Daphnia pulex: one gene and its partners. The protein of the gene in region 3 binds, or shares a complex with, the protein of the main gene of each other region. Links are inferred from orthologs where the notes say so. Each region holds a gene or a part of one and is shown on either strand. Other genes may lie near its edges. The genes, in order: small nuclear ribonucleoprotein F, probable small nuclear ribonucleoprotein E, U4/U6 small nuclear ribonucleoprotein Prp3-like, pre-mRNA-processing-splicing factor 8, small nuclear ribonucleoprotein Sm D2, small nuclear ribonucleoprotein Sm D1-like and U4/U6 small nuclear ribonucleoprotein Prp4-like.

What was found.
Region 1: U4/U6 small nuclear ribonucleoprotein Prp3-like (region 3) and small nuclear ribonucleoprotein F share a complex: the UniProt entries of both Homo sapiens proteins name them as parts of the U4/U6-U5 tri-snRNP complex. The link is inferred for Daphnia pulex from reciprocal best matches to the Homo sapiens genes PRPF3 and SNRPF.
Region 2: U4/U6 small nuclear ribonucleoprotein Prp3-like (region 3) and probable small nuclear ribonucleoprotein E share a complex: the UniProt entries of both Homo sapiens proteins name them as parts of the U4/U6-U5 tri-snRNP complex. The link is inferred for Daphnia pulex from reciprocal best matches to the Homo sapiens genes PRPF3 and SNRPE.
Region 4: U4/U6 small nuclear ribonucleoprotein Prp3-like (region 3) and pre-mRNA-processing-splicing factor 8 share a complex: the UniProt entries of both Homo sapiens proteins name them as parts of the U4/U6-U5 tri-snRNP complex. The link is inferred for Daphnia pulex from reciprocal best matches to the Homo sapiens genes PRPF3 and PRPF8.
Region 5: U4/U6 small nuclear ribonucleoprotein Prp3-like (region 3) and small nuclear ribonucleoprotein Sm D2 share a complex: the UniProt entries of both Homo sapiens proteins name them as parts of the U4/U6-U5 tri-snRNP complex. The link is inferred for Daphnia pulex from reciprocal best matches to the Homo sapiens genes PRPF3 and SNRPD2.
Region 6: U4/U6 small nuclear ribonucleoprotein Prp3-like (region 3) and small nuclear ribonucleoprotein Sm D1-like share a complex: the UniProt entries of both Homo sapiens proteins name them as parts of the U4/U6-U5 tri-snRNP complex. The link is inferred for Daphnia pulex from reciprocal best matches to the Homo sapiens genes PRPF3 and SNRPD1.
Region 7: U4/U6 small nuclear ribonucleoprotein Prp3-like (region 3) and U4/U6 small nuclear ribonucleoprotein Prp4-like share a complex: the UniProt entries of both Homo sapiens proteins name them as parts of the precatalytic spliceosome. The link is inferred for Daphnia pulex from reciprocal best matches to the Homo sapiens genes PRPF3 and PRPF4.

The regions. Positions count from the first base shown.
Region 1 is NC_060019.1:9,593,137-9,596,427, reverse strand, and holds small nuclear ribonucleoprotein F, read right to left. Parts: upstream 1,386-3,291; 5' UTR 1,245-1,385; coding exon 1,239-1,244; intron 1,160-1,238; coding exon 1,031-1,159; intron 912-1,030; coding exon 780-911; 3' UTR 771-779; exon of another isoform or gene 729-770; intron 717-728; 3' UTR 535-716; downstream 1-534. Other genes in the region: phospholipid-transporting ATPase VD-like, read left to right, coding at 2,438-2,741, 2,941-3,291. UniProt on the Homo sapiens protein: Plays a role in pre-mRNA splicing as a core component of the spliceosomal U1, U2, U4 and U5 small nuclear ribonucleoproteins (snRNPs), the building blocks of the spliceosome.
Region 2 is NC_060026.1:14,103,413-14,106,834, forward strand, and holds probable small nuclear ribonucleoprotein E, read right to left. Parts: upstream 1,695-3,422; 5' UTR 1,570-1,694; coding exon 1,522-1,569; intron 1,442-1,521; coding exon 1,273-1,441; intron 1,214-1,272; coding exon 1,146-1,213; 3' UTR 1,007-1,145; downstream 1-1,006. Other genes in the region: serine-rich adhesin for platelets-like, read left to right, coding at 214-611. UniProt on the Homo sapiens protein: Plays a role in pre-mRNA splicing as a core component of the spliceosomal U1, U2, U4 and U5 small nuclear ribonucleoproteins (snRNPs), the building blocks of the spliceosome.
Region 3 is NC_060024.1:10,558,050-10,563,136, forward strand, and holds U4/U6 small nuclear ribonucleoprotein Prp3-like, read right to left. Parts: upstream 3,321-5,087; 5' UTR 3,302-3,320; exon of another isoform or gene 3,256-3,301; intron 3,140-3,255; 5' UTR 3,057-3,139; intron 2,874-3,056; 5' UTR 2,837-2,873; coding exon 1,070-2,836; 3' UTR 965-1,069; downstream 1-964. Other genes in the region: zinc transporter ZIP3-like, read left to right, coding at 1-624, 756-865; serine/arginine-rich splicing factor 1-like, read right to left, coding at 4,673-4,836, 4,898-4,940, 4,999-5,087. UniProt on the Homo sapiens protein: Plays a role in pre-mRNA splicing as component of the U4/U6-U5 tri-snRNP complex that is involved in spliceosome assembly, and as component of the precatalytic spliceosome (spliceosome B complex).
Region 4 is NC_060027.1:2,052,781-2,056,819, reverse strand, and holds part of pre-mRNA-processing-splicing factor 8, read right to left. Parts: coding exon 3,975-4,039; intron 3,740-3,974; coding exon 3,044-3,739; intron 2,778-3,043; coding exon 2,070-2,777; intron 1,835-2,069; coding exon 1-1,834. UniProt on the Homo sapiens protein: Plays a role in pre-mRNA splicing as core component of precatalytic, catalytic and postcatalytic spliceosomal complexes, both of the predominant U2-type spliceosome and the minor U12-type spliceosome.
Region 5 is NC_060018.1:304,790-308,350, reverse strand, and holds small nuclear ribonucleoprotein Sm D2, read right to left. Parts: upstream 1,894-3,561; 5' UTR 1,723-1,893; intron 1,654-1,722; exon of another isoform or gene 1,622-1,653; 5' UTR 1,506-1,621; coding exon 1,501-1,505; intron 1,359-1,500; coding exon 1,103-1,358; intron 1,034-1,102; coding exon 926-1,033; 3' UTR 870-925; downstream 1-869. Other genes in the region: proteasome subunit alpha type-6-like, read left to right, coding at 1-50, 133-288, 349-411, 482-692, 755-812; cofilin/actin-depolymerizing factor homolog, read left to right, coding at 3,102-3,104. UniProt on the Homo sapiens protein: Plays a role in pre-mRNA splicing as a core component of the spliceosomal U1, U2, U4 and U5 small nuclear ribonucleoproteins (snRNPs), the building blocks of the spliceosome.
Region 6 is NC_060020.1:8,496,058-8,499,874, forward strand, and holds small nuclear ribonucleoprotein Sm D1-like, read right to left. Parts: upstream 2,086-3,817; 5' UTR 1,937-2,085; coding exon 1,923-1,936; intron 1,736-1,922; coding exon 1,659-1,735; intron 1,496-1,658; coding exon 1,295-1,495; intron 1,237-1,294; coding exon 1,151-1,236; 3' UTR 1,055-1,150; downstream 1-1,054. Other genes in the region: GPALPP motifs-containing protein 1-like, read left to right, coding at 2,518-2,991, 3,079-3,249, 3,318-3,473. UniProt on the Homo sapiens protein: Plays a role in pre-mRNA splicing as a core component of the spliceosomal U1, U2, U4 and U5 small nuclear ribonucleoproteins (snRNPs), the building blocks of the spliceosome.
Region 7 is NC_060018.1:6,530,648-6,535,132, reverse strand, and holds U4/U6 small nuclear ribonucleoprotein Prp4-like, read right to left. Parts: upstream 2,951-4,485; 5' UTR 2,811-2,950; coding exon 2,452-2,810; intron 2,393-2,451; coding exon 2,273-2,392; intron 2,210-2,272; coding exon 1,811-2,209; intron 1,751-1,810; coding exon 1,474-1,750; intron 1,384-1,473; coding exon 1,327-1,383; intron 1,264-1,326; coding exon 1,177-1,263; 3' UTR 1,065-1,176; downstream 1-1,064. Other genes in the region: tumor protein p63-regulated gene 1-like protein, read left to right, coding at 35-211, 413-553, 647-774, 846-1,039; splicing factor 3B subunit 4-like, read left to right, coding at 3,951-3,984, 4,050-4,363, 4,424-4,468. UniProt on the Homo sapiens protein: Plays a role in pre-mRNA splicing as component of the U4/U6-U5 tri-snRNP complex that is involved in spliceosome assembly, and as component of the precatalytic spliceosome (spliceosome B complex).

The DNA of each region.
Region 1 (3,291 bases), on a different chromosome or scaffold from region 3:
AAGAAGTTGACTGACCTCATCACCTGCGCCTGCTTAAATGTGATCCTGACAGTAACGTTTTAATCTTCGTTGTCTAGTTAGGAACGTACATTTGTACAATGTTTATTATTTGTTTCAAACCGTAGTAATTCATCTCGGAGTTCAACAGCCTATAACTCCCCTAACGTTCAAACGACAGTGATAACTTGCGCATGCTTACCGTCCTATAGTGTTAACAGCCGTGTTACATGCAGGCCAATTGAAACGTATTGAACAATTAATATTCATAAGCAATTAGGTATTCTTATGACATCAGCTGGTACCAGCGTGAGCCAATCGGAAAAGGTGTTTCCGGATTTGTTTGCCTTTTTGATTTATACCTTACAAAATATATTTACGAACAAGTTGGTGTAAGTGGAAAAGAAATGTGACTTGAGTTTTACGAGCATGCGGGACTGCGGGCTGCCTACTAACTTCATTCATAAGGTAGCTTAACCATTTTCCATTTAGACAAAGCCTTTATTTTCCGACTAAATGGAAAAAATCGCCGGAACGTAAGAAATTCCAGTATACTTAACATTAAATCACCAATACGGTAGACAACGGTTCTGTGTTTGGAATTTGGATACTGAAAAGCTGTTTTTTTACTTGTTTGTCCTTCGTTGTCTGTGGGAATCTTGTAATGTATACACCAGAACATATTTTTTAGGGTTTCCAGGTTTCCTATACAATAACTTCTATGAGATAGATAGGAAATGACATTATGTATTAAAGGATGAAAAATTCAATACAAACAGCAATCAATCTCTCATTTCTCCCTCCTCATCATCTTCTTCCACTCCACGTATGTAAAGTACATTGTTGCACCTGACAAGAACTTCACCCAAGTTTCCAGTACAGCTTCCATCAATATATTCTTCTGTGTTTGCCAACTGTGATAATATAAGAAGAATTATTGCCATTGTTCATATATGCACACTGTTTCGTGCAACAGCATGTTTTCATTTTTTTACTGATGAAAATGCACTACATGGTATAATTATTACAGTACCTGAAGATTCATGTATCCATCAACTGAAACGAGATAACCTTTGTATTCATGGCCCCACTTCAGTTTTACCATAATCGGTTTGCCGGTTAAGGCATTGAGAAAGGGTTTGGGATTGATGGGCATGGGTGCCTGAAAATATGAAATATAACATGTTAGTAAATGGTCGGCTAAAAAGGACCACCCAACAAGATTTAGGTTTTGAACTTACTGCCATGATTTGTATTTGTTTTAGTCAACGATTTTACAAAATTTGATTGAATGTTTGACAAGCGAGTCAAGCCGCGTTATTTCAGTTTACACGTTCTGTAACGTAAAGATCAGAAGTAAGGGTTGCCAAGTCGTCTTATTAAGTACATCAAATTTTGAGAAAGTTTTTCCATTTTGTAGGAAAGAAATTTACATATTTAAACCTAATAACTAGTGAACTAAAATTACCTTATAAAATAGGATTATTTAAATAATTTTTTGATGTAATGTAATGAGATATCCATCGTAGAGCAACGATCCCGGATCTCTGGTTCCGGACCAAAAACTCACGTCACCTATTCTGTTTTCAATCATAATAGCTGGAAAAATTTACAACCAAAGGAGAATTTTTTTTTATGTATCGTTATTAAGTGATTTTGTTTAATAAGTGACTCGTGGTCGTGGATATGAAAAGTCTTTTTAACAAATTGGCAAGAACAGAGAAGCTTCACAACCAGAATTAGCGCTCTCTAAAAAGTAATAAAAGAGGGTTTTGCGTTTCGCGGAATTAAAAAGATAGGAATTTATCACAGTTTGTCTTGATACAGAAAGACTTTTTAGGTTCAATTTTACATTTTGGAAGCTTTTAAACGGTCAACAAACCGGTTTCTTATTTCACTCCGGTGTCCATTCCGCGCAATTTCCTTTATTATCGGTTACCGAGTGTAAAATCTGGCAGTAAAGCTTGTACGGTGTATGCAGCAGAGGCTGAAAGCAGTGCACAGCTGGAATTTGCCGTTATATACGTGGACACACAACAAGTTGCTCAGTTGCTGACACTAAACTCTATCTTACCATTCTTTCATCTTTTTGCACTTTTTTTAAAGTTGACGTCACTTTCCAACCGATTGTTTTTCTTCCATTTCCTCACTGGGTTCCATCATTGGACCAAATAAACGAACAATCGTTCCACTGTTAAGACGATTTGTTGATTTTAGTCTGCCATGGACATTTTTTGAAAACAAAAGCTGACTTGTCTTTTTCAGCAATATTGAAATAAGATGTTTGGTGAGTAAATAACTCTCCCTTTTCCATTGCTCAGAAGTTTGTGTTGATTTTGAGTTGGTTGTTGGTAGTCACAAGCTTGACAGTTAGTTTCGTGAATGGTTAAAGAAATTCAATTGTAATTGAATTTGGTACTCTCTCATTTTCAGGGACGGTATGGATTTTGATTCACCGGGTACCACCTACATTTTTCCTGATGTGATGCAACCCCCAATAGAGCTTGAAACTGTCAACCCCCTGCCAAGCAGGGGTTGGCCGGGTGGAGTTAAGGGACATGTTCGCTCTGCAAGTCATGGTGTCATCGGAGTTTCCTTATTGAATCCAACATTACATCCACAGCCCTCTTCGCCATCCCCTGCAATTGGATTATTGGAGGCAGCTTCAGGATTGAATAAAGGGGAAAGATCTTCACAAGATGCTTCTTCTGCCAATCCAACAGTTTTAAAACTTCCTTATACAGGTATTTTTAAGGTTTCAGCACTCTTGATTTCTTTAGCAAGAAGACTTGTAATTCCTGTTATCTTAATTAAATATTTTGTTCATTTCATTGATAAAACCTTCTTGGTATTTCCACCATGCATTTGATTTACCATAGCTATTCCAAAACTATTTTGATTTACTTAATTCCTCATAATCACATTTAATTTGTTTACTAATAGGAATTCTACGCCAGGGCCATACTAGAGCATTATCTCAAGGTCAGATTCCTAATCAGCAAGTCCAACCTACTAAAGGACACAGTCGGACTGGTTCTCGGACGGATTTCCTCCTGCCCCCTGGCCACCAGGATCGAACAACCAGTGGTGCAGTCCATGGTACTAGACACAAAAGACAGGTTTCCCGAACCCTGTCAAACGATGTCTTCACTAAGGGCCATTCACGGCAAGCTTCTAGGACGGAATCAATTTACACGATTCGACAGACCCGAATCCCATGGGTTAACCGATTTCTTTTCTGGAGGCAAGCAAAAACTCCTGAGCCTCCCAGAATGCGTACTGTCGTACCAAATC
Region 2 (3,422 bases), on a different chromosome or scaffold from region 3:
GGCTTCTCATTTTCCTTCCTATCTTTCTTCCGTTCCAGTTGATGGAGGTAAAACTATTTTATTTTTTAAATCTCTCACTTATTTCGGCTTTTGGCTTCCGCTTTATGTACACACACACGTTCTTTGATTCATGTAGTTTCTACCTTATAGTCTAATCATCATTTTAAAAAGTTTATTTTGTTTTTGTTTTTTTACGATTTTTATTTGTTTTAGATGTTGTTGGCGAATCGTTGATGATGTATGGACTTTGCCGCGTCAAAAGCTGCCCCGACATTGTGGATCAAATGAACCAAGATGGTCTACTACCGACCAACATCCATTTGGAATTGGAACTGAATAAAACTAACGGTAAAACTAGCGACAGCCAGCAACAGACTTTGGTCTTGTTGAGAGTGGCCAGCAGCAGATCACGCCGCGATAGTCAAACGCAACGCTATTCATGCGGAGCCCTGGATGGCAAAGTCTTGGTTACGTCGAATAATAATAACAACAGCAAAATAATAAAAGATTCGTCGTCCAACCCGTCACCCTCGCCTTCGGGCTGCGGTTCTAGACACAATAGCAATTCCAGTTTGAATTGCAACAGCTTCTCTGTTATCGAAGTGTCATAATAAATTGATAATTATGTATGTGTAATTATTTTAAACACTACTTTATTTTTAGGGTCTGAAATTTTGCTAGTTTTCACTCTTTGCTATGTTGTACACCCCCCACCTAACAGGCTGATATCATTGATACTTTTATTGATTTTATACTTGTACCTTCTATTTTAAGTGGTTACACAATGTTGTGCAATAGGTTATTTTTATTATTGTAGTCCACATGAAATGACTTGTTTTCAAAACATGATTATTCTTGTCATTGTGTAAATTATTCTCTTGCCGGAGACATTTTTCATGTGTAAAAGTGGCTAGGCTTCATCAAAATAAATATTGGAAAATATTACTAGGGAAATTTATATAAAACTAAAAAATAATAAATAGATGTTGAGAATGAAATATTCAAGTGTGGTTGTAGCATCATGTTTTTCTTATCAGTCAGCACATCAAGATTGGATGTACACAAAATCAGTTCCCCGTTAATCAAAGGTAATACACGACAGAACACAAATTGGGAATGCATTCTGACCAATTAATATAGGAAGATTAGTCGTCTCCACTTCCTGCAGCATTTTGGATTAGAGTAATGTTGTCACCTTTCAGCAACACCCGTCCTAAAATAAAACAGCATTTAGAAGACAGAATAATTGTGAGTAAATGAAAACGTCATTACCAATCTGTTTTCTGACATTTGTTTTGACGTAGACTTCCTCTGCATCATCGAGAACAATGTTCATGTACTCATCAAATCCAACAATGTGTCCTTCCATGTGCATGTTGATGTTCTCATAAAGCCAAATGTCTACTCTTGATCTTGTCTGAAGGTATCTGAAAATCAAGTTCTGGAAAAAGACATTTTTGACACACGTGCCGGTTAATAAATCTTCGTGCTGAAATCGAAGTGATAGTGGTGAAAACTTACGATGGGTTGAACCATCACTTTCTGGACTTTAGGTGCTCGGGCTGCCATTTATCTTGAATTGATATTTAATTGATTCCACACGGGAAAATTATCAAATTTCTAAATGAGAGTTGTTTGAGTTTACACTTTTTGTTGAAGAAGAAACGAACACAGACGCTCAATTGCCAACAACGTTGCCAGATATTTATTTCCTCGTAGGGATTTTCCGATATTTTTCAAAAAGACAAGGGCGGCAAAGGCAAGCAGGCAAAGCAGCCAAGCAGCCAAGCCAGAGTAACAGAATATTACTTTTTTTATGCTGGCATCCCGTTCCGGTTTGCGAGGTTCCCGTAGGAAATAATATCAATTAAAAATTTAAAAAAGCAAAAGTAAAGTAAACATGAAATTCAAAATTAATTACATGAATCTATCGGTATGGTGAATGGGAGGGGGGACGGGCTTCGCCTGCCACCCCCGCCCCCCCCCTCTTGCTTCGTTAATCGCTTAAATTACTGTTATACTTTTACATTAAATAGTATCAATCAAACAAGGCCTATCGGAACATCAAAAAATATCTGTGAATCATAAGGGGTGCGACTTAGGTGTGGCGGAGGCTTCGCCCCGCCACCCCACGTCGCACTCTCTTTTTAGCTTAAGTAACAGCAAAATTTATTATTTTCATAAGCAATATGAAATAAAAAATAATTAGTTATAGTTACAGATAAATCTGTAAACAGTTAGAACAAACCAAACCACAACACCCACCCTCTCTTACGCTTCGTTTAAGTTATTTCGATATTTTTACTTGAAATCGTATACTAATAAAAAATAATACATATCGAAATCAATTAAAACATATCGAAACATTCAAAAGTTATGTCAAACATTCAAACATTGGGGTGTGACTTAGGTGTGTGCTGTGGCGGAGGCTCTAGGCCGCCTAGAGCCTAGATAGATGCCAGTTAACTTTTACTTTTGGTCGCTAGAGCCTAGATGCCAGTTTCTACGCGCGCAGTTCAAACTGTTTTTCATTTTCGAGGCGCGCAGTTCAAACCGTTTTCCAATTTCTACGCGCGCAGTTCAAAATTCCAAAAAGCCATCTATTGGCGAAATTTGAACTAATCCTCCCGTATGCCAAAAAACCTGTAGAATTAATATATTTTTCTATTACTCTGCTGACTGGGCCTGTGGGCTGTGGCCTTGTGGCGTGTGGCCGTTCTGCGCCGATCTGCCGTTCCTTTCCTTACAACAACTGATGCTTGCTGCTTGGAAAAATTCACAGAATCACAGCTAATACTGCTAATACTTTTCATTTAATGTCAACTTTTGGGCTGTTCTCGCCTTGGGATCCACAATGAGTTTCGCTGTTCTGTTCGTGGAATAATTTTTTTAAAAAGAAGATAAGGACATATTCATACGAGGGGTCGAGGGCATTCTCTGACGTAACTATAAAACATACGGTTTTAATTTGCCAAGTGTGTCACTGTGTCACATCTCACCTACAGTATTTAATTCAAAATTGGTAAAAGTCAATTTTCAAATTTTACGTTGGCATGAAAAATGAGAAAGAAAAGAAAGTCTATTTACATTTAAATTGGCATCGCCGCTTCTTCTCACAAATGTTCGTCTGCAGTGCAAAATTGAAATTGAAACTCGTCAAGTCTCGTCAAGTCTCGTCAAGTTACTGAAATTAGGAAGTAGTTAATTAGGGCGCAGTCTTCTCTGTGGGTCTGCCAACTCAGTTCACAGTGTTGTTCAAACCATTTGATTATAGTGAGAGTGAGATTGACGTCGACGTAATCAGAGGAAGTTATCCTGGCAATAGTCTTGGCACTTGGCACCAGATGAAGAAAACACACCACCGACATATTGACAAGGACAATACCAAACGAAATTCATCAAGGTGGAGGCAACAGGTAAGA
Region 3 (5,087 bases):
ACAAGCTGACGATTATAACAGTGCCTAAAGAGGACATAGGCACTAAACGCGTGACTGAGGAAGGAACTGACAACGATTCCGACGATTCCAGCCATCATGGACACAACCATCATGGGCATAGCCATGGGCCTCCACCCATACTGTCGGACCTGGAAGAACGATCTGTCGCGGCAGCGATACGCGGCTTCCTGTTGGTCTTTGCACTGTCGTTCCATTCTATTTTCGAAGGAATGGCGATAGGATTGCAGCCAACTCTGAAGGACATTTGGTTCCTATTTGCAGCCGTTACAGTTCACGAGCTGGCAATCATGTTTTGTATCGGGATGGAGATGTTGGCCTCCCACATTCGTGTAGGCATTTACATTGCCTACATGGTCACACTGGGTCTTATCACTCCTATCGGAGTGGCCATTGGAATATTCGTCACGGAATATTTTCAAGATCCTACGCCGTCTCACACGTTAACCATCGGCATCCTTCAAGGAGTCGCAGCCGGAACTCTCCTTTACGTCACATTTCTCGAAGTGTTGGAACGCGAGCGAAGGAAATCCGGCAATGGATTAATTAAGCTTTTATCCGTTTTCGTCGGCTTTGTCCTCCTGTCATCACTTGAAGCCTTGGGCGGTTAGTTTCCTCCTTTTAAAAAAATTCTAAATTCAATTTCGCTGAAAAGGAAACTATTAAAAAATCTGTTAGAAATGACAATCACGAACTAGTCTAATAAATACCACCTTTTTCCTTATGCTGCGTCATAGGTCACGGAGAACCAACAACAGATCACCAAACACAAACAACTGTCGGATTATCGTTTGTTTTGCAACCCGTCACGACACCACGTTACACCTTCTATTCACCGAGTGCCTGAAAAGCTGCCCAGCGTCAAAGGATATATTCTGTCATGTTCCTGCGAAGACCTGTATAACATTCCCCGTTTTTGTACACAAAAAAAGAAAAAAAAAAGAAATAAAGACAAATCTTTTTATTGATGGTAATATTCAAAGATGAACGTTTGGTTCAAAAATGAAAAGAAAAAAATAAAGAGTTAAAGTTGATGGCAGAATGAAACCGATCACTTTTCTTCAGTTTCTTCCAGCACTGCTGTGGAATAAGACAGGTCCCAGTAGTGTTCGACGCCGTGTTTGCGAAAATGTTCTCGAGCCACAACCTCCGATGGGCAAAGTTTGAAGATGAGGTCACCAAAATTGCGTTGTTTGGTCGTGCCTTCCCAAACGAGCTGGCAGGAATTCCGCGTTTCGGGCTGGGAGGATGAACCAGTGTCGTGTTTGCTAACCTTGACGGCGTCCTCTTCCCACCGAATGCGATTGAGCATCAAGCGTTTGTACTTCTTCTGCTGTTTAGGGCCTCCTTCGACTATAACGACGTTAACGTCCTTGAAAATGACTGCGCATCCCGTCATGTAAAGCTGCTTGGCATTGGTCTCGATTTTGAATTTCTTGGATAAATTGGACAAATCCTTGATCCGGTAAATCGCCACATGCACACCGCTCGTTGTCGTGTCTTCTTGGAGCTTTTTCTCCTTCTTTTCGCGTCGCTGGTCAGCCGTCAACTTTCGAGAGGCATTTGCCTCCTGGTGATTTTGAAGTCGTTTGGCCATTTGCTCGCGGACGTGAGCTTCAATTTTGGTTGGATCCTGGATGGCTTCGTTGCCCAACACGCGCATCAAATTAGAAATTCGAACTTTTGCTTGAGGTGGCGGTTCCAGTCCCAAACGGATATTTTCTTGTTTCTCCTTCCAATTTTCACGTCGAGTGGTGCGGCGCAACTTCTTGCGCTCTTTCTCGGTGAGAAAGACGGGCAAATAGGGCAAGGCCAGCGGGTCGGTGGGAGCACGCATTTGGATGGGATGTTCGATTAAATTGGTAATCGTCTCCTGGCGTAAATTGGGCTGTCCGTCTTCGCCTTCGTAGCTTCGTGTTTGCAAGATGACCGAGTCCCACCATTCCAAATCAATGTCCTCCTCCTCCTGACGATCGCCAACTCGTGGGGCAACTAGAGCAAGTGCAGTGACTGAATTGATGCCAGTCTTACGGGCAATTTGAGAGATTTCGCTTTGCAATTTGTCTAACTGAGCCTTCATTCGCATTCGAGATGCCACTTGCTGAAATTTGCCCTGCTCGTGAAAGTGGAAGGTTCTGCGTGTTCTCACGGAGGATTTGGCTGCAACACGTGGATCGAAGAAGCGACTTTCCGTCAAATTTCCCGCTTCCTCGCTTTGTTGTTGAGATCCTTTGCCCATGTGAGTCTTGAGCACCTCGCGTTTTTTGGCACGAATGTTTGCCTTGAGAGTTGGTGTGTATTGGGCCAAGGCAATCTCTTTACCAGTCGCATCAACTGTCCTTCCATCAGCGTTGAGAATAAGTGGGCCAGGTTTCGGCTCATTATTAGACCCTTCCCCTGTTGATGCAGGGACACTGGCTGTTTTAGGAAGACTCAAGTTCAATGTGGCTAAAGTGGAGGTGGCTAGTTTTGACTGAATTTGAGCCTGTAGTTCAGCAATCTTTCTGGCACGCTCATCCATTGAAGATGGGGGAACGGCTTTAGGAGCTACAGGTGTTGGAAGTGATGAGAGCACTGGGGTAGTCTTGAGAAGAGCTGGCGGTTGATTGAGAGATCGTTTCCTTTCCTCAATCATCTTTTGAGCATTCATCATCATTTCTCTAATCTGAGAAGAAGAGAGTTGTTCAGTAGTATCCTGGTCACTCTTTCCATCTCCATTGCTGTCATCCTGGAATCGTGATTTTAACTTTTTTGCTTCTCGACCAGGTCCATCGAGTGAATCTTCTTCTTTAGGTCTTTTTATGCTTGTAGTAGCCATGATTGGAAATACCCCAAAAAACCTATATCACAGATGCCTAAAAAAAAAGAAAGAAAAGTTGTTGTTTACTGAAGAGAAACATTCTGCTACAATGTTATTATAGTGACAATTTTCAACGTACTGAAAATATCTTCTAACAATGTTTAATCTATGACAAATGACGAATGTATTGTGAAATAAAATCATCGGTTTATTGAAGAAAAAACAAAATTATTCTTACCAATGCTTCAATCTTCCACTGTAGTTCGTAACTGCAGGTCTAAACTTGCTCTGTTTAGAGACCGGTTAACAACCGATAAGAGCCTATTGATGCACAGAAAAATCGTAGAAATTCAGATGATAAACTCAAAACGCTGTACAAATATATAATTTCAAACTATATGTTTTTTTGAGTATGCTCAAAGTGAATGTGTAATTACACTATTTTGGGGGAAAATTTGTACGTTTTTATACGTTTTTGGTTACCCAAGCAACGCGAAGACGCCATCTAGAGGAATCTTAAGGAAGTACTGGGACTTTCGTAAAAAGAAAAAGAAGAAGCAAGCGCTCAAGTTCAAAGCATTTTTGTTTCTCATTTTTGGTTCCAAGGACAAGGAGATATAAATTTAGAAAGAAATCAAAACTAAACAAAAACCTATTTTTTTTCTCTGAAACAGTTTCTACGTTAAGTTTCTATGGTGAGTAATCGTAATGCGAATTGTTTTAATTGTTCTTTCTGTGTTTAAGACGAAAAGCAACTTTGTATTTTAAACACGTCATCAAATTTTTGTTTTAGTCTAGAGAACAGAATAATTTTGGTCATAATTTTTTTTTCAAAAGCATTTCACTGGTTGTATTAAATCGTATCATACATAAAAAAATTGTCATTAAAATGGTAATACTGTTTCCAATGTGCCGAAAACAGAAGTATCGGTAAACATCGAAGGAATTTCTTTGTACTCCAAGGAAATATCACCATTTGCAAGGCATGTATTATTTCCATTTTGTCGTCATCCGTCGGTTTCTTCTTTCTCTGTATGATGATGAAAAAAGTGCCTGAAAATCAAAGGGTAAGCAATCCTAAGTTAACTCTTGTCTTAGGTCGGGCTCAATTCCAAAGTGCCGGAGTCCAACAGATCTCTTTAAAATAAACGGGTCCTGACAAGGCAAGTCCACAGCGATTCACCACGACGGTTGTAGACAAAGGAGAAGCGGTTGCTGTTTCCAGCATATCCTCCAGATCCTGTCACCTATCAATCCACAATGCATCCATCCAAATCCATTCCAATGAAATCCAAATCCAATGCAATCCAAATCCCACAACAATCCCATCCAGAGAGAGCAATAACCTTGCTGTGTACGCTACAAATAGAAAGGGGAAGAAAATGAGAATCATGTTTATTCGACGCACAGCTATTTTGTGTATTACAAGAGGGAGGGGAAAAAGGAAAGGATGAGGTTGCTCACGGAAAAAAAAAAATTAGTTGGTTGGAATCGGGGAGCTCTGAGGGTATTCGAAACCAAAAAGGATTACGTGTACGTCGAGAAGAAACTGAATGATTAGTAGCAATAATTGCAAATGCCAAAATCATAACCCAAGAAACATATTTTGAGTTTCTCATAAAAAATTGAAATCTTTGATGTAGCTTGTTGTAAAAAAAAAAAAAATTGGTTTTTGCAATTTAAAAGATTTGCTATTCATCTAAGAATTTTGAAAATATAGTATGAACCATGGAGACAATACCAAAGACCCCTTTCCTCCTCCAGTCCTTCCAATCCTTAAGCTTTTTGTTGTCCACATCGCACAACTTTTGTCTTTTTGTTTAGTTTTGCCTTTTTCTCGTTTCCATAACTTTTTTAAGATCGTGATCTGGAACGAGGTGAGCGTGAGCGCGAACGGGAATATGAACCACCACGACGAACGGGGGAATAGCTGGGGGAGCCGCGACTTCCACGTGTTTTGCCGCCACCACCGGCTGGAGAATAAGATCGCGATCGATCACGAGTTCCGCCGCTGCGACCTATAGAAGAAAAAATTCAAGGTCAATATTTACTTTAAACAAAAATTGAAATATAACTTACCGTCTCCGCTATCTTCCTTAACGCGCACATATGATACTTCTCCCTGTAAACGTACGAATAATTTTGAAAACTTTGTTTATCAAGATTTGTAGAAAATATACCTCATGTGAACGGAATCTTGAGTCATCTAATTTCTTGATGGCGTATTTCATATCCTCGTAGCGAAGGAATTCAACCATTCCAGTTCCAT
Region 4 (4,039 bases), on a different chromosome or scaffold from region 3:
GAATCAAGGAAATCTTCAACGTCGGGATTTTGCCGTGCATGAAAATGCCAGTCAAATCGAGTTGGACCTGGAAACCAACGTAGACGTTGGCTCGGTTGATGGTTGGCGACCACCACAGAGTGAACCGACGGTTGGGAATTTGATTCAAACCGGAACGCTGGGCATTAGTCAACTTCTTGTACTTCATCGACTCTTCGAAACCGGACGCCTTCTCCCAAAAGAGACCTTCCCAGGTGGGGAAATAGGTTCCCTTGAAGAGCGTGTGCTCAAGGATACCTTCAACTCCTCCCAAGGCTTGGATCATGTCGGTACGATAGTTGTTCAGGTTCCAAAGTTTGCCGTCGTGACGCTGATGAGTCCACCAGAAGGGATTCTGCTTCAGCACCTGGTACTGTTTGAATTCTGTGCGCACACGCCATCCTTTGTCGTAAGCCAAAGTGTGTCGATCCTTCTGGAAAAGGGTGTTGATACGAGGAATACCACGATCCCAGCTGTCTTCCAAGTCTTCAAGGGTCAAGCGACGGTTCTGTGCAGAGGCTTCTTGACGTTTGAGTGCATATTCAGCCCAGACTCGCTGGGAATCGATAAACTCGGCTTCCCACGGTTGGATGTAACGATACAAATTGGGGATGAGCTGATCTTCGTCGTGCGACATACCCGATCGGAAATGGGTTATGCCGACGTCCGTTTGCTTGGACCAACGCAAATCAGACTGAGGGATGAGCACGTGACCCATGGACAACATTCCAAGACCGCCCAACTCCTTGGGGGTGTAGAATACGACGGGAGGGAAACGCGAAGGCATTTTTGAATTCAAGCCGATCTTGATACGAGTCTGGATTTTGTTCTCGCACTTCACCAGCAAGTCCAGCAATTCCTGGGTATTGACAACCGATTCGCGGAAGTAGGTCATGAGACCAATCAGCGCCGTGTTCCATTTGTTGACGATCTTCGTGAAAGTGGTGGACCCGGAAGCCATCAAAATTTGACGGACACGGTTGTGGAACTTTTGCAGCGACTCGTCATCGACGCGCAAGAAACATTGGGCCGTTCGCTCTTTGGTGATCTCATTCTGCAAGTTCCAAACACCATCGCGATGCGTAAACTCTTCATGTGTCATACGGCACTTGGGTAAGATGCGGCACTCGAATCCAGCCATGTTGAAGAGCAAGTTGGGGTTATCCTTGGAGTAGACGCTGACAAAGCTACCCTCCCACTGAATGGTGGAAACGGAACGCGGCAACCTGTTCTTGATGTCCCAGAAAACGGCACGGCCAAGATTGACGTCGTGCTTCATGAGGCGCATTCGAGCGTCACGCGGCCAACACTTTTTGTTGTTGTAACCCACAATGTTCTCGTTGTTGGGGTCAGGGTGCTCGGTCAGGTAACGTTGGATCAGGTCGCGAGCCTCTTCAGCCGTGAAGCGGAAATACATGTGGACGCGATCGACGTAGCGCGAATAGAGCCGAATGGGATGAGCGACTTCGGTGGCCACATCTTGAAAAATGAGGAAATCGTTGGGCATCTGCGGCGGACCCGCCATCTCCGATGCACGTTGGAGACCCAGGACGAGGAGATCAAGTACCAGACCAAAGTACTGGGCCACGAAAGAGGCGAACTGAAGACCACGGATGATACCGTACGAGTTTGTATGGTTCATGTCTTTGTAATTGATGACGACGTTGTTCTTGGCTGTCATGTAATCGGCGATGTTGTGATCCACGATGAGACGCAGAAGACGATTGAGCAATGTTAAATCGATCTTTTCGTACAGCTTTTCGAATTTCGTCTCCAGCATAACGTTACATTCGCCATCCGATGTTTCCCAGACATCCTGCAGAAAAGAATAATCTTTATTGTTTGGTCACGATATATCAAATTCTTAAGTTAAGTTAGATTTGAATCAGTGAGTGCGTTGTCCCGCCCAAGTCGTCTAGCAAACGGCCAGCACCAACTCGGGCGTCCGTCCAACACCAGCGGACGGCTTCATGACCCCTGCACAACTCATCATTTCTCCGCCCAATAAACCTTAAAAACTGAACATTTGTAAAATGGACGAGCAAATTTACCTGCAGATTGTTAATGCCCTGGCACCACTTGTAAACTAGCAATGGAGGTGGCTCAGCATCAGCCGGTTTGATCCAGGGTGGGAACAAACGACGCTTGTCGGCTTCATACCACAAGTACTGATCCAGATAAGCGTCCGTGATCTTCTCTAGCGGTTCGACATCGTAGACAGGTACCAAGTGGCTGTAAAGATCCATGAACTCGATACCGACTTCTTTGAAGGCTCGCTGCGTCAACAAGTGACGCTTGATACGCGACAAGGCTTCGTGCGGGTTGTCGTAAGCTTGTTCGATCAAACCGAGCTCTTCACGTTGACTCTGGTTGAGACGCGATTTGACGCTGTAGGCTTCCTTAAGTCGCTCCAACGCCAAGATGAGCAGTTTAGTATCGTGCTTGTAAGACAGCGGAGGGAACTGAATTGGAGCAAAGCGACGCGATTCCAGCCAATGGACAGTGGTGGTGTAGATAGCAACAGCTTCTTCGGGCGAAATGTAAGGACCGTCTTTCAAGTAGTTGTGCTGACGCTCCTGTTCAGCCTTGAGGTAAAGACGGGTCAGACGTCCCAAATTCTTCTTGCACACTGTTTTGTCGACAGTTGCACCACGACGAATACGTTCACGATTGTAATGAGCCGTATTAGTCCACCAGTCAGCCTTCATCTTGACGTATCGAAGAATCATATTCTCGATGGGCGTTGGTAATCCAGGGACCTAACATGATTAAAAGAAAAGAACATTTAAACTATTGAAAACGTAAGTATCAAATGTCAGTTAAAATAATTAAAGATTAAGATCTAGATTTCAATCAGTGAGTGCGTTGTCCCGTCTAGGTCGTCTAGCAAACGGCCAGCACCAACCTAGACGTCCGTCCAACACCAGCGGACGGTTTCATGACCCCTGCACAACTCATCATTTTTGGCTTGACCGTCCCTAGAAAAGTGAAATTACATCTAATGAAAATTAAAAGTTGATCTCACCTTCCAGGGAATGTTGGCTTTCCAGCATCTCCAGGCCTCAGACAAGTGTTGCAAGATGGTACGAGCTTTATTCTGCTTGATACCTTCAGGCATCATATCGAGGATGTCGTGCATGACAGAAGCTCGAAGTTCCAAATCGAAATGGGATTCGACACGCTGCTTGGTGACAGTCTTGGCGATACCTTTTGAGTGACGGCCTTCGAATTGACGCGACAACAAGTTGCCCAACCATCGTTCAAGCAATGGGGTAATACCACGCAAGAAAAAGAGCCAAACGCGCCATCCGGGAGCCCAAATACCGCAGCCGGGACCCTTTCCTACTGGGCCAGTGTTGAAGCGGTAGTAGATAAGATGTTTAAGATCCTTGCACATTCGGATCTGCCTCATCAACTTGTACTTGTAACGGTACATGCCAGTCAATTGACCAACGTGAGCAAAAATATACTGAAGACCATCAGCCAATTGGAAAGCATCGACGTTGTTGAGACGATACTGGACATGGGAGTCGATGATCAGCTTCGTCAAACGCAGGATTTCACGACAAAGATGGAAAGCATTTCCGAAACGTGACTTTTTACGCTCCTTGGTTGTAAGGGTCTTGACGGGTTTCAAGTTGAAATTGTAATCCAAATGTAAGTAGTTGAGGTTCTTCCTGTGAATCAACAAGTTCAACATATTCCATCCTTGACGACAGACCTAAATTTGTTCAAACAAAGAAATGGGTTAAGTCTTTGGGAAGAGATATAAAAATATGAAATGTGAAGTTAAGAGGATTGTTAATATCAGTAAGTGCGTTGTCCCATCGAAAGTTGGCTAGCAAACGGCCAGACCCGACTTTCAATGTCTACCTAACATGTTATGGGTAATTTCATGACCCCTGCACAACTCATCATTATAAAGGACTCTTAACAGGAAAAAGTTTAATATTTACCTGGAGGCCGACTTCAACCCAATCCAAAGTTGTTTGCTGGAAGAATTTGGTCGACTTGAAGGACC
Region 5 (3,561 bases), on a different chromosome or scaffold from region 3:
CATCTTCAAAATTACTACTAACATTGGATGTGTTATGACTGGAATGACAGGTCTGTTAATTTCAAAATTGACAATTTCTTTCTAATCAAAGACATGCAAAATGTATTCTATTAAATATATTTTTCTGCTTAGCTGATGCTCGTTCTCAGGTTCAGCGTGCTCGGTATGAAGCTGCAAACTGGAAATACAAGTATGGCTATGAAATTCCTGTAGATGTCTTGTGCAAACGTATTGCAGACATTTGCCAGGTTTACACCCAGAATGCTGAAATGCGTCCCCTTGGTTGCAGTAAGATTTCCTCAGTAATTCAAGTTGTAATGGAGTTTTATTTAATTTTTTCCTGTTTAGGTATGATTGTCATTGCATATGATGAAGAATTGGGGCCTGCTGTATACAAAGCTGACCCAGCAGGTATATATCTAAAATAGGGTGTAAAGTTCTCAAATTGTATGCTTTATTGCTGTTTTACTTTTTTTTCAAGGATATTACTGTGGTTATCGTGCTACTTCAGTGGGTGTTAAACAAACCGAGGCATCGTCGTATCTTGAGAAGAAATACAAAAAGAAACAAAACTACACACATGATGAAGTTATCCAGCTTGCTATTACAACTCTGTCTCATATCCTAACTGCTGATTTCAAGCCATCTGATATTGAAATTGGAGTTGTTTCTAAGGATCAACCAGGATTTAGGTAAGAAAATGCGCAAAATATTTAAGTTTAGGAAATTAATGTGACTGATCTGATTGTTATAGAATTCTGTCGGAAACTGACATCGATAAGCATCTGACTGCAATTGCCGAAAAAGATTAAGTTTGATTTTGTAACTTTTTCTTTCAACATTGGAATAAAACGAGATAATAAAACACATTTTCCGCTGTTCGATTTTTTTATTTCATACAAAAGTGAGAGATAAACACATACAATTATTTTGCTCCAGGAGTACCAGCCAAAGGATTTCTTAATACTAATATTACAGAATCTCCACGTAGGAACATTTTGGAGATAAAACGGTCCTTGTTGACTGGTTTGCTCTATAAAATAAATATACAACTGTCACTGTTGATAGATGAATGAATGAATGCAGAAATAGTGAAAATTACCTTCTTCTTTCCTTTCCCTGTTCTGGGAACTTCAGTCCACATTTCCTTGACATTTTCTAGAACCATATTGCAGTGACGGTCAAAAGCTTTAACACGTCCCAGTAGCTTTTTGTTGTTACGGCAGTTGATCAAGACCTGAGTGTTGTTTTTTACACTCTGAGTCAAAACTGAAAGTGGTCCAGTGTTGAATTCTTCTTCTTCCCGTTTGGCCAATTCCTCCGGTGTCATCTCCGACTTGGGTTTATTTGCAACAGCCCTATGGAAAGAAACATTTATTATTTAGTGCTCATACGAAACTGTCAAGTAGAGAAAAATCTGCAGACACGGAACACTGTAACTAGCTGAAAATATAGATTTAAAAATTTTCTATTTTGAAATTGAACTTAAGCTTTACTTACGCCATGATAAATAGAAGGATGTAAACGGATAGAGAAATATTCTTTGGAATATTTTTGAGCCCGGCTTCGTTTAACTTTTCAAACCGTTATTCACTTGTTTTTCGTAAACAAAACGTACATGCTGCGTTGTCATATTGTATTAATTAGCATTAGACGGTTGATGCTATTTTATGTCTTATTTGCGATTTAATTGCCAAAAATTGTTTTTTAATGTTGACTTACATTTTTAAGAGACACGTTTCAATTTCTAATAATTGTTGTGAAAAGAAAAGAATGAAATTTGCCAAGAAAAACATTTACAATCCCAGACGTCAGACGTCTGGGACTCTGTACTGGAATTCGTTTTAGTCGAGAGGAAAGGAAATACAAACCTCAGAAAGTAGAGTCAAGAGAAAACCGAAGCGGTTGACAATTGTCAGCCGACAGATGTTATGTTATGTAGCATAGCTTGTCTAATGCCATATATGGACATATTCCCCCCGTATGCACAGACTATTCTTTCTCATGGTCCCCAATGGAGAACGCTTTCCAGCGTTGTTGATAAGTCATCCTGAAACGGCGAAAACTTTCGAATCACGCTGTTATCGGCTGTTCATTGTGCGAAGGCGATCTATGGCAATTGAAACTTTTTGGTCTAAATTATAGAAACAGAGAAAGTTGTCGACACCGGTCCCGAGAGTTTCAGATTTTTAATACATAGGGGAGGGGAGGGCAGATTAGAGGGAGGGGAAGTAAAAATGTGAGTCATCGATGTCTGCCCATAAAAGGTCATCCTCCCCGAGAAACTGAATGAAAGAATAAGTGTGCAACTGGCCCAATAATTTTTTTTTTTCGTTAAAACACTCATGCGAGATGCACACCATTTATTAGGAAGTCGGAATGATCATTTAGAGTCGGCAACTTTTTGCTCAAGCAGAAAAATCTGCGAGTAGAGGATTTTACAGAAAAAGTTACTTTTCGTAACTCTCTCCAGGTTTGTGGTTTGGGCTCCCCTTTTTCGGGTTAACAAGCGCCCGATATGGACAACCAATCAGAGAATGTGCAACCAGTACACACAAAATTCTCTACAATCGGCATCATCCTTCAATCGCTAAGCAAGCAGAGACCCCTGGCGGTTACCCGAATTCATTTAACGACATTTGAGATTTTACATAACAGCAAACAGAATAAGAGTCATACAAATTATTTTTAAAATGATAAATGATGCGCCTATCATTATATGTTTTATTTGTGATAAATTAGTGAAGTTTGTAATATGGTTCGAAATAGGCATCGTTTGACGGCGCTGTATTCCACCCCCAGATGACGCGCTTTTCTGGGTGTGGACTGGGTAGCGCCAAGTTTTCTCAAGTTTGGGGAACAGCCGCCATTTTGCAGTGCGAGGTCCCGGCCGGTGTAGAGAAGTCTACTCTGAGTTTCCCCTCTTCTTTCGCCGCGCCACGAGTAAAATCTTATCGAGGGCATTTTCTCTCTCTCTCTCTCACTCGCACCACTCACTCCCCCCAGTGCCGTCTCATCCCGCAGTCATTCGGGTTGATCTTTCAGTTTAGGCGTCTTTGAGCTTTGCGTGAAATTTTTCTAGACTTTTTTCTTAGTCCAAAATGGTGAGTAACGTTGATATTGTCATGTCGTTAGAAATGTGTTTGCTGTATACGTGTGGAATTCTTCCAATTTCTGTCCCAAAGTCCTCGATTCAGGGAGAAAAGTTCTATCCTTGTGTGTGCTTAACTGACGAACGCGGCAAGGCTTGGCGGGGGGCCGGCTTCCCATTCTGAATTTAGCTCACCTCGGTTGAAAATTTCGTCTAAGCTCACATCTCTATGCATAGGTTGCGAAATTCCCTAACATATTCTTCAACTTTAGCCACCAATTTTTTGTGTCACAATGTCTGAGTTAGAGTTAAGTGCATTTACCGGCTATGCGTGGTGTCATGTTCTCCAAAGATCTCTTTGTAGTAATGGACTTCCGTTCCACTAGTTTTTCACTCATTTGGGGTACAGTAATGCATACCTTACGTGTGTGTAATCTTTTTTATTTCCTGCTGATGCAAGTAACTCTTGC
Region 6 (3,817 bases), on a different chromosome or scaffold from region 3:
AAAAAAAAAAAACACTTGTTTGACATCGTCTAACGATAGCCAATTATATTCTCATAGTGGTCCAAATATACAGTTACGAAAACTCTCAAATTAACATTAGCTGATTTAAGCATAAAACGTGTAGCTAAAGTTTGCTACCATTGCCCTGCAATAATTTCAGTTAAAAAAATTTACATACGATTCTTAATGGAAGAGCTTCACGGAATGATAAACAATTCTCAACGTTGAATGTGGATACGTTCAACACGTGCACTATTTTAACACAAATCTTTGTCTTATCAAGCTGGCCCTCTCTTTGACGACTAGAAAATCAAACCTTGGTTTGAATTACATCACTATTGTTTTTTACGCTTCAGATTTTGAGTTTTTGTTACGAATATTCCAAATGGCCTTGCAGTAAGGACTTAAGTCTTAAGGTTGTTTTCAATTTTAATTTCTAATAGTTTGTTAACATAAACCTGTGCTCGAAACAGAAACATTGCTAGTTTCATTTTGTATCTTGGCGGGAAAACGAGGAAAATGCAAATTTTGCATTTCATTCTATGTATGAATAATAGAAAATTAGGAGCAGATATCGCCGAAAGCCTCTTAAACGCAAATACCTCTTAAACTGAAGTTACAAAAGCAAATAAAACTTGTAGCCACGACTGTTCTTAAACATGTCAAGTTTTCCTTAAATTTGCGACATTCTTAATTTAAATTAAAGTTTAATGGTTTAGTCACAAAAAATTGAATAGTTTTAGTCTAAATTTAATAGAAAAGTAATTTAACTTTCATTTCCATCAAACTTTCATTACTTATTACACCGCTCTTTACACTTGTTTTTTCCCCGACTCCTCTGACAAAATGGCAAGAATAGTCAATATTCTTGAAATAAGCAAGGAAACGTTATGCGATGTCCGCTTATAAATCAAGAAAAGGAATTGACGGTTCTCTACAAATTATCTATGCTTACATGGGAGTCAATTGGAATTGATAAATAATTCTCATACAGACTCAACTGTGGGGAAAAAAGTGTTTGTTTTAAGGACTTTTCAACTGACCAAAAAACATATAAGACAATGACAATTTGTAATGCAAATGAAAACTGATTCCACATTTGCTGAAAAGAACGAAAAAAAAAATGGAAAATCGTTGGAAATTACAAATTTCAGCGTCGAGGACCAGTAGCACCACGTCCACGTCCTCGTCCACGTCCTCCTCTGACAGCTCCGCGTCCACGGCCTCTTCCACGAGCTAAAAAAAGAAAAGAAAATGAAAAGAGGAACACAGTGATAAGGGGAAAAAAGTTTACCTCTACCGCTAGCATCCTTCTTCTTGGCCTTGGCTTTCGGAGAATCATCCAATAGTAAGGTTTCAAGAGGAAGTGAATCAGGTAAAATGTAGTACCGGATGTTGTTTCCTCTAATACTCAAAGTTTCAAGCTGAACAGGGTCTCTGTTTTTAACTGTCATTTTCACAGCTTTTAAATGAGTGTTCATAGCAACATCAACTCCTATAAAACATAATCAAATGAATGAATTTAGTAATATACAAAACGGAAAACTTTTCTTCTAAAATGTCACTTATGTGTTTGCAATTTCACTAAGTTTTCGAAGAAAGTATTTAAGGATTGCAGTAAAATAAAAAATCGAATAAAGACAACAAAATTGAATTACCTGTTATTGTTCCATGAACCTGAGTACCATTTTTTAATTCAATAATGACTGTTTCGTGGCTCAGTTTCATCAAAAACCTAAGGATTATACAAAATAATGGTATTTATTTCAATTGAAAGCAGTGAACTATTTAAGTTGTGAAATATAGAAACGGCATAGTTTCCCAGACGCATCCAACAACCGGCTTAATACCCAGACCAAACCGATTTTTGTGGCTACTTTCTGTACGAATTTACTTGACAATGAACATATTCCGAAACTTACCTCACTAATTTCATTTTTGATAAACTTGTTGTTTGATGGCTGTAATAAAGTAAATCACCATATACGACTTATTGAATGTTTTAATCCTTAGTTTAGTGAAACGCACGAGGTACGCTAGTCAAAAACCAAAACTGCTTGTTGGAAGCATAACTTATACTAAAAAGGCCCTGTGACATTTCATATTTCATAACGGTCGATGACTATGATTTTTGTACTTGTAACGTAGCGCCATCTACGCAAATATTTTGAATTTTGTTATTAGACAAGGTTTATTTTTGCATATTTTAATCAAAAATTAACTAATAATAATTTTTTTTTATTATTTTAAATTTATTTATCAAAATAAATTCATAAATCCAGAAGCATTATCGAAGCGTATCATAGAACCGCATAGAACACAAGTGGCATGACATGAGTGACAATAAAACGTACTCCAAAACAGAAAACACATGAGACAGGCCTGCATACTATAACAGCATTTCCAGTAAGCTAAACATTGGGTTTCGGTTTCACCTATTTTCGATTTTTTAAAAATAATTCTTTGTCGGTAACGCATTCTCAATTTCCCGCGTGGTTTTAATTTTTCCCTCTCAAAATGTCTCGAATCGGACCAACATTACCTCCTCATCTTCAAACAGCGTATGAAAATGATGATTCAGATTCTGATGAAGGTGATCTCTACGGACCAGCACTTCCCGCTCATTTAAAATCACAGAAAGTGTCCAGCAAGTTAGTGCAATCAAATATCTCCAATGACAGAGGATGCTCTGTTAATCATGAAGTTGACTCTTCATCAGATGATGAAGTTATTGGACCACTGCCAGCTGATTGTATGGATGCTGAACATAGTTCATCAGTTGACATTGAACAGCGGGCTCTTAAGATGAAGAGGAAGTTGCTTGGTGTGGATGATGATGAAGCCAACAAGCAACCAAAAAGAGAAGATTGGATGATTGAGCTTCCAGAACTGAAAAGGAAAAACTTTGGCCTGGGACCTCGTGTCTTTAATCGTTCTGACAAACCTGAGGTTGTAGGGAGAGATCAATGGACTTCAACACCAACTTCCAAGGTTCAGATAGTACAATAGATACACATATAATGAAATTTTCTTAGCTGGTCATTGCTAATTTCTATAATTTAATTAATATAATTTTAGCAGCCTAGTACATCCAAAGAAAAAGATGAGGATTTTGAAGCTGAAATGAGGAAACAATACTTGGAACAAAAAAGGAATAAGAAGCTTGAGAAAATTGTGGCCATGCATGATAAATCCAAGAAGAGGTCAGAGAGTTTGTTGAAGACACATCAAAAGGAAATGAAAAGCAAGGTAATCCTACATTTTTATTTTTGCTGTTAAAGTTGGGGTAATTTGAAGTAAGATTTTTGTTTCTATAGAAAGACAACTCGTCCGGTCCTAAAGAAAGAAAACCTTTTGATCGTGATGAAGATTTAAAACTGAATCAACTCGATAATGCAAAGCGGAAATCCTTAATTAAGAAGTCCCAAGAATTAAATTCAAAGTTCAAAATTGGGAATCAAAAGTACCTTTAAATAAAGTGTAATTTCATAGCTTCAAACCTTGGTTCAAAATATGGTTCAGGTGATAACGTTTTTCCAAATTTTGACTATAAGTTGAAATTTGTTGATATCATGGTGAGCTGCAGCTCTAATTATAAATATTTGTCTATTGAACGACTTACATATTTGCTATTGTGGCCACACAAAACTTTTTCTTTTCCAACCTCTTTTTTCCGTTAGAAGAAATACATACTATTCCTACGACAAATTCAAAGCATTTAGCACAGGACAGGGACGTTAATTTTCAGATTATATCGACCACGCGATGTTTGCTTTACAATTTTCCGATAGACTCACATTCAATTTTCCAATGTTGG
Region 7 (4,485 bases), on a different chromosome or scaffold from region 3:
TCTTTTGATGTTTGTTTTCTATTGAGGACTAAAGGGTCGATCACTGGGACAACGAAAAAGAACGACTGATTTTGCTTTATTCTCGAACCTTGTTCATTGTAAAATACGACTTCATCACCACGACTCTTCAAAGCTTCGAGACCTATGCACTCCAGAAAATTATTCACCTTACTATTGGGAATATTGAATACCCAACACACTCAATCACACCGTAAGTTTTTTCCGTTCAAATTTTTTTTTTCTTCAGATTGATGGGCATTGGTTACCAATCAACTGAAATTTGTCACAATCATGTGGATTGCAAGTAAATGTTTCTCTGTGTAAAAATGAGATAAGATTTTAGTGTCTACTTATATCGGATGATTGAAAATTAATTTAGCTTTTGTCGTATTTTTATATGAATATACTTTAGGAAATTCCAATACCTCGCAGATTCTATAACAGGACGATTCTCGTCTATTCTACGAGGTAACTTTAATAGTCAATCGGCATCGGAGCTATTACATAAACGTTCAACAGGTGAAGAAACTCAAACTGACTTCACTTCCGACAGGTAACATAACTAAATCAGACATGACACATTGATACGTTATAATGTAGAAATGTCGAACAAAAGTTTTCAAGAAAGTTCTTGCTTTGGAATTAGATTGAAAAGAAACGGCGTCCGAATTTTGTTTGGGTCCGTGCCGGCAGAACCCAATTTTACCCAGTTATGGAATCCATGGAGCAAGGCAATTCCCTGGTTAACGTTTTTATCGCATCCACTACTTTCAAGTAAAAAGATTGCAATTCTGTTAATCATTATTCGATGGATGTTAACTCTTATTTTTACCTATGAATTTTAGCTGAACACACGACTCCTGCTATATTCGACGTTAAAGATTTTACAGTCAACCTACAGCGAACTTTGCAAAACGAGTACCAGGGTTTAGTTGAATACAAGCCAATTATAATGAATTCGTATTTAGGGCTTCCAGCATTAGTACACAACTACAGTCAATTCGGATTTTACAAAGTACGAGGGAAAGTAAGTTTTTAATACTCCACCCAATCTTCCCAACCAATAGGCTTCAACTTTTTTGTATTTAATTTATTAATGTTTTCGAAGTCCAATACACAAATAAAGAAATCAAACAAGCATGGTCGTCTTCGAAGCTGCACTCTATACTTCTACATTTATTCAGGGGACCAAAGCTTGTAAGTGCGATCGTACGAGGCTGTGGCGATGAACGACCCGTCAGGCGATACATCAACTGCCATAACCTGTAACAATAAAATAAAAAAATTGAGAAACACATCACAAACGTATCTGATTAAAAAATTTACTTTTCCGTCATGTCCCGAAAGGGTTTTCAATGGTTGCCAAGTGTTACTCGCCCATATCTAGGGCAGAAAATTATTTCAAATATATATAGATGACAAATGTAACATTTAAAGAATGCAGAAAGAAAATCTATTAATGATTATTCATACCTTTGCGGTACAGTCATATGAAGATGAGACAATATACTGTCCGGAACTTCTTTCGAATTTCACGCTCGACACTAAATTTGTGTGTGCAGGAATAGTATAGATACAGGATCTCTTACGTAAATCCCATATTTTACAGGTATTGTCTTCACTTCCAGTTACTATGTGGTAGCCATTAGGTGATATATCGATGCCCAAGACACCTTTTAAATGACCTTCCATAAACATGATGCAGCGCCCAGTTCTGAGGTCCCATACTCGACCAAAAGAGTCCATGCCACTAGAAAAAATTCCACATGTAATTAAAATATTATGTTAACATATTTTTAGGTGTTGGTACCCTGTGATAGCCACTGAACCATCAACATTGAATGCTATGTTGTATACAGGTTTGGAATGCCCTTCTTGATGAAGAACTTCTACACCCTGTTCTAGATCCCATAGCCTCCAGGAATTATCAAAAACACATGTAGCTAAAAATCTTCCAGAAGGATGAAATTCAACTTTTGACACTCGATGCGGAGCATGTCCTTCCATATCAGCAATCGGCTCTTCACTTTCTAAATTCCACAATTTGACTGCGCCGTCCATGGAACATGAAGCCATATTTAATTCTGAAGGTTCTAAGCTCAAGGTGGCTTGTGGATGGAAGACTATTGCTCCAACACTACACTTGTGGCCTCTCAATGAATGAGACAAAGTGCAGTCAGGTACATTCCACAATTTACACAGGCCACTCCTAAAACATGAATTGTTTTTTATTATCTGATTAACTCTCTTACAATCTCAGAATATTTAATACCAGGAGGCAGTGGCCAACAAATTTCCACTTGGGCTGAATTGGCAATATGATATTGGTCTTCCATCACCAACTTGGCTGCACATGATGTTCATACCTCTCATCCGTTTCACCATTTCCTGCCTGGAAAAGAAAAAATATATTAATTGGGATGTGCTTTCATAACAGAGCATATTTCAGACCTTTTGGCTGTTCTTGTTGATTCTGGTATTTCAGATTCAAGTTTCACATTAGATAACCTTTGTTTTGCTCTGGGGAGGGAATAATATGCTAACCACAAACGAGCAATTTTGAGTGATTCAGGACCTTCATGATACCAAGTGGTTTCAGTTTGATCTTTCTCAACCTTCACAATTTCTTTTTCATCTTCTTTTTTTCTATCGATCAAATCATGTCCATGAACCGAGAGTAACTCTTTTAATCTATTTCGGCGATCAGCAGGTCCTTCACCAAAAAGGGTTATTGGTTCACCTAATTGCCTAAGATGTTTCCGAATTTCCCCATCGTCAATTGTGATAGCGAAACCGGTTGTGGACGACATGTTTAAAGAAATGTGTTTTCTAATTGAACTTTTCCTGTTTTGATCTCAATGTTTAAATATTATAGACACCGACACCTCGTTTTGTCACGTTTTTGTTGTCAATACGATCGTTCTTAAATCTTAAATAGACTTTTACAAGCCAGACGACTCCCAAACGAAAAGCGACTTACGGTATGAAAAAATCATGTGCAGCATACAGAGCCACTGGTGGAAAACTGGAAAACTATGTTCCATGTACTCATTCTTCGGATAATAAACTGCCGCTCGCAAAAGAAATTTTAAATTATGATGTGTGATTTATTACACTACCTAATATACAAAACAGCCAGTCTGAATAATACCTGAATACTGAATCTTCGGTTTATATTACCAATTTGTGATTTCGATTAGAAAAAAATTATTCGCACTCATAGTGCAGCACATGCCCATCTGGGATTTTTTTCCAAAAATGATTTTGTTGCAACCTATAAAATTGAGGTTCAGCTCAGCATACAGTTGTTAATAGCATAAAATGCCTGATATGCGATCGATTACACATGCAGCAGACTGTGTAACAGACTGTGTAACAGGCCAATTTGGTGTACGGAAACATTAGGGAGTATACTAGGCCTAGTATAGGGACATAACCAAAAATGATGTTTGAAATATCAGATTGTCAGTTCAAAATTTGGTTATCCATTTTATGCATCTAATTTTAGAAAACTGTATAATAACTACAAAGAATTGTTCTTAATAAAGATCTGTATGAGAGGGAAAGGAATAAAGGATGTATTCTATTAACGCTTTAGATACAGAAATTTTATATTCTTAGTATTTCGTAGGATTTCCGGATATAATTATACATGCTTAAACACGGCATTATTTATTGGAATTTGGCAATTTGCAAAGAGACACAAGACACCACACAGACTAAGATTTGAAAACCTGTCGGATCCTTCCGCCCTTGCCGCTATTGAGTGTGTGGGCCGGTCTTTAGCTCCGGGCGTCATCTAGTTGGAGCTTGGTTAGTCAAAAGCACTGGCATAGGAAAACTGATCGCTTGACCGGCCTTCAATAATACAAGGCAGACACACTCAAACAAGCATTTTATATTTTGGAAGTTTGCAAATTTCAGGTGGAAACTATTTGGTTACTTTCAGCATGGCTGCTGGACCTGTTTCAGAAAGAAATCAAGGTAAGAAATTTAAGTTTATTATGCACTAAAATGAAATGACTATGTGAAATTTTTATCATTTTCAGATGCTACCATTTATGTTGGTGGGTTAGACGAAAAAGTTACGGAGCCCTTGCTGTGGGAGTTGTTCGTTCAAGGTGGTCCTGTAGTAAATGTGCATATGCCTAAAGATCGGATTACTTTACTGCATCAAGGATACGGATTCATAGAATTCCTCAGTGAAGATGATGCTGACTACGCATGTAAAATTATGAACATGATAAAGCTGTATGGTAAACCCATTCGGGTAAACAAAGCATCAGCACACCAGAAAAACTTAGATGTTGGAGCAAATATTTTCATTGGAAACTTAGATCCTGAAGTTGATGAAAAACTTTTGGTAACCAATCAGCATTCCTTTAGGTTCAAAACACAATTTAATCTATTATTGCTTTTTTAGTATGACACATTTTCAGCATTTGGCGTAATTCTTCAGACACCAAAGGTAAATTTGAAATCATT